Linked DNA regions of Oryza sativa Japonica Group. The protein of the gene in region 3 binds, or shares a complex with, the protein of the main gene of each other region. Links are inferred from orthologs where the notes say so. Each region holds a gene or a part of one and is shown on either strand. Other genes may lie near its edges.

What was found. The genes of interacting proteins can lie anywhere in the genome.
Region 1: large ribosomal subunit protein uL1c (region 3) and large ribosomal subunit protein bL21c share a complex: the UniProt entries of both Arabidopsis thaliana proteins name them as parts of the 50S ribosomal subunit. The link is inferred for Oryza sativa Japonica Group from reciprocal best matches to the Arabidopsis thaliana genes EMB3126 and RPL21C.
Region 2: large ribosomal subunit protein uL1c (region 3) and large ribosomal subunit protein uL29c share a complex: the UniProt entries of both Arabidopsis thaliana proteins name them as parts of the 50S ribosomal subunit. The link is inferred for Oryza sativa Japonica Group from reciprocal best matches to the Arabidopsis thaliana genes EMB3126 and AT5G65220.

The regions. Positions count from the first base shown.
Region 1 is NC_089036.1:9,030,857-9,034,665, reverse strand, and holds large ribosomal subunit protein bL21c, read left to right. Parts: upstream 1-1,151; 5' UTR 1,152-1,197; coding exon 1,198-1,500; intron 1,501-1,971; coding exon 1,972-2,052; intron 2,053-2,600; coding exon 2,601-2,702; intron 2,703-2,785; coding exon 2,786-2,860; intron 2,861-2,979; coding exon 2,980-3,063; 3' UTR 3,064-3,309; downstream 3,310-3,809. UniProt on the Arabidopsis thaliana protein: This protein binds to 23S ribosomal RNA in the presence of protein L20.
Region 2 is NC_089036.1:32,213,725-32,217,301, forward strand, and holds large ribosomal subunit protein uL29c, read left to right. Parts: upstream 1-1,331; 5' UTR 1,332-1,362; coding exon 1,363-1,716; intron 1,717-2,657; coding exon 2,658-2,801; 3' UTR 2,802-3,077; downstream 3,078-3,577.
Region 3 is NC_089039.1:18,889,752-18,893,827, forward strand, and holds the start of large ribosomal subunit protein uL1c, read left to right. Parts: upstream 1-1,226; 5' UTR 1,227-1,405; coding exon 1,406-1,774; intron 1,775-1,880; coding exon 1,881-2,060; intron 2,061-2,170; coding exon 2,171-2,225; intron 2,226-2,491; coding exon 2,492-2,619; intron 2,620-3,080; coding exon 3,081-3,164; intron 3,165-4,076. UniProt on the Arabidopsis thaliana protein: This protein binds directly to 23S ribosomal RNA.

The sequences.
Region 1 (3,809 bases), on a different chromosome or scaffold from region 3:
TTGATAGAACTGGGAGTACGGAAGATAGTCTCTTTAAGATGGCTAGGTCAAAATATAAGCAAAGGAGGACTCAACAAGATTTGAAAAAAAAAACAACAATCAGGTCCTCCTCTGTCTTATGCCCACATTGGTGGTGACTGGTGACATACTTGATGGCAGTGGGTGCTACATGGACACGGCGAGCTACAGAAGATGTTGCCTTGACGCATTCCCAAATAGGGTTTCACAACAATAGAGGTTAAGGCCATGACAATTCATGAAAAGGTTCATCAATACCATAGATGAGTACATCCAGAGCTAAATGAGATTGTTCTTGGAGCAGAACCATCAAGGTCGACAACCTAATCGTTGATATTGGTGATAGAGACAAAGATTTCATGGCAAGTTGCATAAAAAAGCACCAAGAAGCTTACCTTATTAGGGCCTCCATAGCCTAAGGTTGAGGAATCCAAGCATATAGCAAACAAAACTCAACTGCTTCTTGAAGGTTTGCCACCAATAAAGAGGAAGAAAACTATCATCCTTGCGAAAAGCCTGCTGGAGAAAAGAAAGATAACTTGCCTAACTTCCCTTAACTAGGTCTAGCTTTCTCCTAACTCACGGTGATAGAGAATTACCCGGTGTTTTAGAGGGATACCACTAGAGAAGAAACTTCGATTGCCTTCTCCATGAAACCTAGGACTAGAAGGCCAACATCGCCGACCTTCACGCTCAAACTAAAAGAAAAACCCAACTAAATTGATTGACCTACAAAGAGAGAGTTTGTCGGACTTCTCTCCCTCACCTCGCCGGCGGCAAGGTCACCCGAGCCTGTGAGGAAGAGGGGTCGAGGAGGCGTAGTAGTTCAGTTTGGCTCTTTCGTCCGAGAGTTCACGAGAGTTCTCATCACTCGTGTTAATTCGCATATTCTTTATGGTCTAATCAACACATTCGATCCAACTCTTTTATAATCTTTAACTGATTAAATCAAACGATTCTAAACTTTAGAAAGGAGAAACAAAATGAGTACGTGCAGTATCGCTAAAAAACTAGTAGGGCATAGTTTCATGTTTTTCATGGGTATCTAATCTGAGCCGTTGATCTCCAATCGAACGGCTCAGGGTAACCTCCCTATCCACAATATTATCCCTCTTCTTTCTTTCCGATACGATAGCCCACACTCTCATCCACACTGCTCTTCCCCCCCGCGCGCCGGCCATGGCCACCGCGACGCTGCCCCTCCGCCTCCTCGCCTCCAAAACCCTAGCCTTCCCCTCCGCCCCGTCCCTCCCGGCCTCGCGATGCTCCCTCCCCGTCGCCGCGTCCGCGCCCCGCCGCTGCTGGCGGCTCCTCGCTTCCGCCGAGGAGCCGGCGCCCGCACCCGTGGAGGCCGAGGCCGAGGCGGAGGTGGTAGAGGAGGAGGAGGTTGAAGAAGAGGAGGCTGCGGTGCCGGAGCCTGTGGAGGCGCAGATCGCAGCCGCGGGCGCCGGGAAGGACGCCGACATCTTCGCCGTTGTCATGGTGGGGCTAGCTTGCCCTTGCCGCCAATATTTCAGATTTAGTCCTGCTCGGCTCACTGCAAACAAACAAAAAAAGAATCACATTTGTTCATGCTACATTACCTCGAATTCTTTAAATAATATCATTACACAGGCATTTGGCGCTAGTTGCGTTGCTTCTTGCGGTGAAGTGAGCATTTGATTTCAGGCTTGTGTTGCTTACTCTATGCTGCATAAGAAGCTTAGGATTCACGCGCCAATAGGAATGCGCGCACGCCGATTATTAGTATGTACAGGACACACCATTAAGAAAACGGCGCAGAGAATTACAGTGTTTTCGAATGATACAATACTAGTCTTACAGAGAATTGTTCGGATGCATTTCTGAAATATGCAGGAGTGCATCTGAGGAGGGTTTCTCTGTGTTTTGTTTTGTATGAGCGCTGTGAATAATAACGAGGGAGCTATTTTGATTATTTTTCTTCTGTCGCAGATTGGGTCGAGACAGTACATTGTGATGCCTGGAAGGTATATATACACGCAGAGGCTGAAAGGCGCCAATGTCAATGATCAGGTCTGGTGCTTCCACTTTAGAGGATGCAGGAGGATACTTGTTACACCCTAACTAGAAATTTGGCCTATTTTTGCTAGTTAGTTGGTTTGTATTAATCCATAAATTTAAAAGGTATATGATGCTGAGGTGGCTTCTAGATAAGGTGATTGTAAATTAGGAAAAGGCAAATATATAGTATTGGTTATTTGGTTATTATTCTTTTTCATCCATGAGATGCAATAACAAACTTCAAAACAACGAGGAAGGTTGTACATTCTGAAATTATGGAAAGTGGTAGTGACCTACTTCATTTTAGAAGTAAAAGAGTCACTTCCCTGTAATTATAACACTTCAATCCCAGTTCCTGATTTCACATAAATATCTTATTCAGAACTTTTCGATAAGTTTTGTGTAGCCTGCATATATTAGCTTCGTTCCTTTTCTAACTAAAATTACTCCTCTGATGCAAAGCTTCCAATCCCATAGGACCCATACGTTGGCTTATGTTGCTGGCATTTTTAGTATTGTTTTCCCAGAAATTCTCACTTCTGGATAATGCTGATGTGCAGATAATATTAAACAAGGTATTACTGGTATCAACTAGAGACAAGGCTTACATTGGCATGCCAGTGGTGACCAATGCTGCTGTTCATGCAGTGGTTGAGGAACAGGTATGTCCTCTGTATGTTGTCGGGTTAATCATGGATATTCAAAATTACTTGACCCTGATGTCTCCCCAATATTTTTATATCAGGGACGGGATGATAAAGTGATAGTCTTCAAATATAAGAAGAAGAAGAAGTACCAGAGGAAACTTGGTCACAGACAGGTAAGTTTTTCCAATTACCTTCTTCAAGAAAGGTAGAATTTTATTGATAAATACTGATTCAGTTTTTACAGCGAAGCAATTAGAGTTCTTTTAGATTAAAAATCTCTGTTGTTTTGCAGCCAAACACAAGGTTAAGAATTACCGGCATAAGTGGATACGAGGACTTCCCTGCTGACCCGATACTTGAGTATGTTCCAGCTTAAGAGCAATTGTAAGTTCTGTAGTTACAAACAACTGGTAGTACATTAGAATACGAGTGCTACCTTTTCTTGTCTGGAAGAACAGTTTTTGAACAAAATTTGCTTTGTTCATGTGTTCGAGTGCTGCCAGTCATCCAGTTGTTCCATCCTTTGTTTATTCCACCATCTGTTTTGTTCATTCTGATATTGTGTATCCTAGCCAACTGTATTATTTTCACTGTGCTTAAAAAAAGAGAGAGCATTTTACCACGATACGGATGTTTTAGCTTTGGTTTGTGTAACTTTATACAGTTTTTGTGACTACTGATGCTAATTTCACTGTTTTTGGCATCTGTACCAATGGTGCTTAGTTTATTGAACGGGCTATGTCCTAATATTTTGGGATCAGTTACAGTACTATGTTCAATGCAGTTCTGGTCATGATTTATTCGAGTGTTCTAAGAGAAGTTCTGCAAGGCCATATATAAGGTGTTTGTGTGCAACCTTGTACTGCTTAGGGCACATAAGCAGCTGGTTAGGACTTAGGCCATATAAGCATCTACAAGGCAGGTGGCTGCATGGATTCTGCTTACCACTTTTTAGAACCTTGGTTCATGAAGAACTGCAGAAGTTTTGCCCTTTTGAATCCTTACCAAAGATAACCAGTGGCATAAGGCGTATAATCTTTTGGCAAACTATGACTGTTTCAGTAGTCCTTCACCCCTAATTGCATATTACAGTTCTGAATTATAGTGGTTTTCAGACATCTT
Region 2 (3,577 bases), on a different chromosome or scaffold from region 3:
CAAATCTCTCTCTCTCAAAAAAGGAGTGCAACAGTCAGACTTGATGCACAATCCATATGCTTCTTGATTCTGCATACCTTTCTGTCATTGTGTATTCAGCTTGTTAATTTCTGCTTTACATCGTTGAAGTGTTTCTGGTTGCTAAATAGGACAAATTTTATACTTGTAGATATACAAATACACTTAATTGAACTTGATTAACATAATTCTGTACAGAGCACAGCTTAAGCAGGCAAAGGTGAACAGAGATGTAGTTAACATGCCTTGGTGCTGATGTGTGAAGGTGTTCCAGATGCTTGGTCTTCTGCTACCCTCAGCTGCACCACCCTCGTACTGTAAGTCAAGAAAGGCCAACTCTTCAGATTTCAGACAAAGACAAAACATGTTACAATGTGACAGTTAATTTTTGGCAACTCATTCATTCCTTGGTGCCAATCTGAGCATTATTCAGTAGCATCGTGTAACACGCAAAAATCAACGAAAACAACAAAAGAAATTCCTTCTTTTTTCTTAATTACAGGTGGAATTAATCAGCTGTGGTGTGAAACTGTGAACCCGTAGGGAAGCAGGGGAGGGAGCTCCCGCTCCTGCATGACGGCATCCGGCGGCGGTAGCACGGTCCTCAGCCACGCCCTTTGTTGCACGGCCAGTGGCCTCCGTCCGAGATCCCCTTGGTGCCGCGACTTGGGGAGAGAGGCGGTCGGCGAATCAAAAGGCAGAAGCGAAGACGGACGTAGCGATGCATGTGATTTCCTCCTCCCCATCCCCAAGCACGGCAACCGAACTCATCGCCCCATCCAGCGACGAGGTGGATCTATGCCACCGCCGCCGAACTTGAGGGGAAAGACGGCACAGAACGGCGCGCTGGCGCGTGGGAGGGTCAGCCTAGGGCGTCGGAGGGGCGGAGGTGGAGCTGGAGCGCGGGGAGGAGGAAGAGGCGGCGACATCGGCGTAGGAGGACAAGTCGACCTCCGACGAATGAGGCGGAGGAAGCGGGGGCGGGGGCGCCGGCGGAGAGAAGGGCATTGCAGGTTTGGTATAACTTTTTCAAAAAGACCCCTAAAACCTCACATATTACAACGAGGTCCACCGCAGCTATTCCACACCGTTGATCTGTGATCTGACGGCTGCGAGAGGGAGACGAAAGCTGGAATCGTGCAGCGCCACGTGGAGGGGTTATTTGCACGCGAATCCGCGTAGATTTCGATATTTAGAGATGTGACATGCATATTAAGCAAGTGAAAGCCGTCCGATAATGCTTGAAGATTCGTGCCCCGAGTGGCTAATCAACATGACCAGATAAACCCCCTTATCCACGAACCCCGACCGGCAGAGAGCGCAGACGCGAGCGCAGCGCAAAAGATGGCGACGATGTCCCTCGCCGCGGCGTCCCCCCTCGCCTCGACTCCCCGTGGGCTCGCCGTCTCCACTCCCCGCACGGCCTTCCTCGGCCTCCTGACCGGAGGGGCGTCGCTGGCGCCGTTCCCGGGACTGGCGGCGGCGGCGGCGCCGCCGCGGCTGCCAGCGGGGAGGGGCGACGCGGCCGTGGCCAGGATGGCGAAGAGGGAGCAGGAGCTGGAGGAGATTCGGGCCATGCCGACGGAGAAGATCGAGGAGGAAGTGGTGGACCTGAAGGGGGAGCTCTTCATGCTCCGCCTCAAGCGCTCCGCGCGCCAGGAGTTCAAATCCAGCGAGTTCGGCCGCATGCGCAAGAGGGTATGTCTCTTACTCCATGGGGTACAGATATACCACAACTGCTAATTCCATTGCGAAAGTTTAGCATTTACTCCTGGCCAAAATGCGTTCAACCTACGAGTGGAAATTCCACCTTCTACTTCCAAATGGGTGTGGAGTGGTCGCATGTTCTGCTCAGTGTGTTCTGTTTACAAGGCCCTTTTGTTCAACCTCTAGTACTGAGTTGATTATGTTCAGATATATTGAGTTGATTTCAGGTTCAGAATAGTGGAATAACTTACCAATTTGTTGGTGGAATTTTGCCTGATTTTTATCAGTTGCATATTGGCCCATACTGAATTTACAGATGATTTGGGTTAATGCTTGGACAATTTCAGTCTCAGAAGCAATTTTTTTTTACTTAATTTGATTAGAAAGTCATGCTGACATCCATTTACGTATTCTTACATAGTATCTACTTTGGGTTTGTAGTATTGTTTATTGGATTTTAGTGCATAGAGTACTACATGAAGAATGATATTGCAATGCAATGTGTATCTGAAGAGCTTTTATACTGTTCTTGGGAAAGTAGTGTTAAATTAACCTTCAGTGGACCAAAATTTAAAATGGAACAAAACTTTGTTCTGAGGACGTCAAAATGCAGATAGTACACAAGAACTAATTCTACGGTCAGTTATGTGATACCTTGTTCTTCTTGAGGGCTTCTGATAAGTCAATTGTTATGAATTATCACTTGCTTTGGAGTTCAGGTCTCCACCTCTGCTCAGGGACAGCACAGGACAAATAGTTAGCAGCAGAGTAATGCATACTTATATCTGCCTCGATCAATGCTTCTTGCCTTTTAGGAGGAGGATATCAGATTTTTTTTTCCTGTTGTTTTTCTCACCCTGCTCATCTTGCTTCAATAGCAGCTTTCTACTATCTAAATTTAGCATTGACTTGGGTTGTCATCTTCGCATCAGATTGCTCGTATGCTGACTGTCAAAAGAGAACGGGAAATTGAACAAGGAATCAACAAGAGATTGTCTAGGAAGCTTGACAGGAAATGGAAGCAAAGCATCGTGGTTAGACCACCACCATCTCTAAGGGAGAACAAGGAGGAATAGAGAGCCACAAAAGCAGACAGTCTGTAGAAGTCATTTCATGCATGTCTTGAAGGAAGGTTTCTTTCTCCCTGTGGTTTCATTCCTTATAATGGATTGATATGTAATTCACATTAACTGATTTCCAAGTCCTTGCTGTCAAAACCAAAAGTTCTATTACCAATTCCATTTGTGTAAATTTCAGTTTATTCAAAATGTGTTGTCCATATATGCACTTATATTACTGATATATGAAACTGTGCTTAACGAGTGTATGCTATACACTTGTTGAAACTCAAACTGCCTATTCAAATTCACCTGTCACAAAGTTGTGGGTACGTACATACTATAAGAGGCAGATATGCAGAGTTCTAAAGAAGTGTCTCTGGAATACGGAGTAACAAAAACAAGAGAATTAGGCCATGTCTATAATAGTTCGCTTGGAATTTTGGTGCCCTGCTTTGCTCCAAACTCAAGTTCACTGTTTTATCAAACGTTTCAAAACTGTACAACTGTCTCCAAGCCCACGTTCTTGTGGCTTGTTGTGTCGGTCACCTAGATTTATGTTATTGTTCAACACTGATTTATGCTTAAACTAGCTCTGTTAGACTGTCCTAAAGCATGTTGGGCTTTCCCCTTCTACTCTAGCTTTAGAGTATGCTGCAGGTATCTCTGCACAGAGCTAGGGAGCCATCCTAGATCCATCATCAGTTTCATAAGCAAGCCCAGGTGGCTTGGCCCTTCAGCCAAAACTTGTTATTCTGATCTCTTCAACAGATCTTAACTTGAGATGTAGAGAG
Region 3 (4,076 bases):
TGCTCTCAGAACCCATGAATTGCATAAGATTAAGACATTCAGTCCAATTTCTTCCAATATTCTTTCTAAAAGAGATCTTGTAAAGTTTGCATGTGACAAAAAAAAAAGAACTACTACATAACACTATACTGTTACAACAGAATACCTTATGGTGCTAACATCAGCACAGGATCGTAGGTATCATATTTGTATGTGCACTGGATCTGGTACTACCAGACACGATATCCATTAATACCACATTATCAGACTCTCGTATTGGTTCCTATTTCCTTCGTCCCATAAAAAATCAATTTCTAGGAATGAATCCGGACAACATTCTTAGGACATTCACAGTGCGCTACATATTTTTGCCGTTCCTCATATGCCACGTAGACGAAGAACCTGTTAAGCTTCATCCTCTACAATGCAAGTACTAGTAGTGGGTCCCACCGGTACAGTTTTTTCAATTTTCATCTCTCAATCTCTCTCTCTCCTCTGTTTCTTTTCTCATCCGAAATCTTTCATCCCCCAATCTCTCACTCTATTTCTTTTCTCACCAGGGCATCCGAGGCGCTGGGGCTGAGCGGCGGCGGCTGTCAGGGCAGCCCGAGCTGCGACGGTGCCGGACGGCGAGCTCCCATCCTCATCATTGGATACGGTGGCGGTCGCAGCCTCTTCGTCGATGGCGCCTTCCTCTCTCTCTCTCCCCGTGGCTGTGGCGACAATGCGCTCGCTGTCGACGCTGCGCGAAGCCACTCGTGTGAGGCTCCGCCCTCCACAACACGACAACTCACCTTTCTCCCTGCTTTCTTCGTTTGAAGAACGAGTATCCATGTTTGGGTACGAGAACCTTATTTGGCTCCGCGTACTGTCAATGCGGCGCCGAATATTCAGTTCTTGGCTATGGGGCTGAACGTCACATCCTTCTACTGTGAACACTCTTAGAAGTTGTATCTTTTGGGATAGAGAGTGTAGGTACTCTGATGGTACGGCCAGACATTTCTGATACTCTCGCAACTAACAGATTATGGGTAATGGTTCGTAGTATTTTTAAAAAGTAAATAGCACTACATTATCGGTGGTTCTTTTGGACCGTACCCAGTAACGGCGAAATCGTGAGCTTTTGGGCCCAATCCGACGCCCGCGGCGCCGCAGCGCACCACCCTCCCCCAACCGTCTCCCCCGCGCGCGCGGGCACACACGGCTCGGCTAATCCAAAATAGCCCAAATCGCACGAGTCCTCCCCCGTCCCCCGCGACGCGCGAGCGAGAGAGAGCCCTATCCGCTGCGCGCTTCGCCCGCTCGCCTCGCCCTCGCCTCACCGGCTATTATAACACTCTCGCGCTGCCACTTCGCCTTTTCCTCCCCTTTCTATCCTCCACCTCGGCTTATCTCCTCCCCCCTCCCCACCACCACCACCACCACCATGGCCACAGCCGCTTCCCTCTCCGCCACCGCCTCCTCCCTCCTCGCCCCCGCCCCCGCCACCACCGGCGCCGCGGCGGCGCAGTGCTGCTCCTCCTCGTCCACCGCGCTGTTCCCCACCCCCGTCCCGTCGCTGCGCGCCTACTACCCGCGCCTGCTCCTCGCGTTCCGCCGCCCCGCCGTCGCCGCCGTCGCAGACCCGCAGGGCGCCGTGCTCGAGGAGGAGCAGGGGGAGCAGCAGGACGAGGGGCAGGAGCAGTACGACGACGACGACTACGACGACGGGTACGAGGGCGGACGCGGCCCCGCGTTCACGCCCCCCACCCGCCCGCGCACCGGCAAGGCCGCCCTTCCGCTCAAGCGCGACCGCGTATGCCCCCCCCGAATCCAGCCTCCCCCCCGCGTGTTCATCCATTCGTGTTGATTTTTGGATTGACGCTGACGCCGCGTTCGCCTTTTTTTTGATGGGTTTGCAGACGAGGTCGAAGCGATTCCTGGAGATACAGAAGCTGAGGGAGAGCAAGAAGGAGCACGACGTGCCCACGGCCATCTCGCTGGTGAAGCAGATGGCCAGCGCCCGATTCGTCGAGTCCGCTGAGGCGCACTTCCGCATGAACCTCGACCCCAAGTACAACGACCAGCAGCTCCGCGCCACGGTTATTGCTCTTTCTCTCTGCTGTTGCCATTGTTACGTACGTTCTGTTCTGGCTTGTGTTTTATCAATCGTTTTTGATGATATTGGATCGGTTTTGGTGATGATGTGCAGGTTAATTTGCCCAAGGGGACGGGCCAGTCGGTGAAGATTGCGGTCCTCACACAAGGTGGGTTGCAATTACATTTTGGAGATTGTTATCGCAGCACCAATTCCAATTGCAATCTTTGGTGCATGGATTGATTAGGTCACTGCTAGTTGTGTCTTTTAGGTGTGGTTTGCCTGCTTGATCATGTGGTTATTTACGGTTCATTAAATTGGAAGCACGCTGTTATATAGTGAATTGAAATGGAAGTATGTGAATGCGCGCTAGTCACTAAAGTGGTGCACTAATCACTAGCACTATGTAATGGCTATTGTCAAATATCCTTGCAGGTGAGAAGATAGATCAAGCAAGAGCTGCAGGAGCTGATATTGTCGGTGGAGATGACCTGATTGACCAAATAAAAGGAGGATTTATGGAATTTGACAAGCTGATTGCATCACCTGATATGATGCCTAAGGTATGGCATTAGCTGCATAACTCATGTCTAAAACAATTCCAAGCATTATGAAGACTTGTCTTTTTGCATGTCTCCGACATAGTTTATCCCACATCCAAATGAACACGTTATGTTTCAGTGTTATTAGGAACCACAAAACCAGGCAACATTTAGTTGTATTGATCAGATATTGTTTTCTTATCATTACCTGCCATATCTGATCCATCCCTTCATATTACAAGTGTCTAGCATTTACGATTATGATTTGAGCCATAATGGAGATATGCAAATTTGGTTCACTCAGAGAAAATAGATTCGATAAGCAAATAAGGTTCTACTGTTTTGAATTGGTACATTCTTCGGAAGTTTGGATGCAGTTCTGCAATAAGTGTTGAGCTCCATGCAAGACCTGCATGGAAGTTTTAAAGGTGTGCTACTAGCTCGGCATATTATGTTGTTGATTTTGGTCTTTTGCTTCACAGGTCGCCGGATTGGGAAAGATTCTAGGACCGAGAGGACTTATGCCTAACCCCAAAGCTGGGACTGTTTCTCCAAACATAACTCAGGTACAATGGAAATTCTACAGATTACTATATGTATTGACACTGTTGCTTGTGGTTTTCTCTCCCATTTGCTTGGTTATTGTGACCCTGAGTGAAAGGTGGGTAACTGTCCATTTACCTTCTTTGATCCTTGGTGAACTTCTGTTTTATCCTCGTTCAATGCAATAGGCAGAACTCCTGCCCTTTTGTTCAAAGAAGTTGTCCATTTACGTCATCTCAGTACTTACCTCATAGATGCACTTCTGGGAGAAAACCTACTGATATATTGCTACCTTGTTTAGTAGTCTTCATTGTGTGTGCAATATATTTCAGTGGTTCGATTTTCAGACATGTTGATAGACATTTTTTTAACCTTGTTATTCGTAGATAGAAGGTTTGAAATTTTGTTTGTGCCAACTGAATTTGAGGATATGCATGGATGCATAGCTCCATCGTTCGTTTGTTGGCTTATCAACGGCAGCCAAAATCTGGATTTTGAAACTTAATTTAGAATTGATTTTGAGGGGTTTTTTTTATTGTGCTTTATTCTCCAGTGCTGGCTTTTGAATCGCTAAGAACATAGATATAGACGTTTTACTCAAAAGTTATTTTTGGTTGCTTCGTCATTTTTCCACGGCTTATCAGCCATAGAGCAAATGATCGTGTAATGACTGATGATGATGGTAATCTGCTACTTAGCCTGCATAGTGCCTCCGTAACAGTTATGTAAAGCATCACAACAAATCTGCAAAATAGAGAAAACAGGTAAAGTAGGCTACTTGACTGTTAGGAACAACCATCATTTATAACGGTTAACTGAAGGACAGGAGTGGGAGCATTTGTGAAAAATCTAGCCCTTTAGGTAATGAACTGGGCTATATTGTGCTCATATATCTATGAAAAGGGCCCAATTTCTCTAATTTAATACTTCAGTAG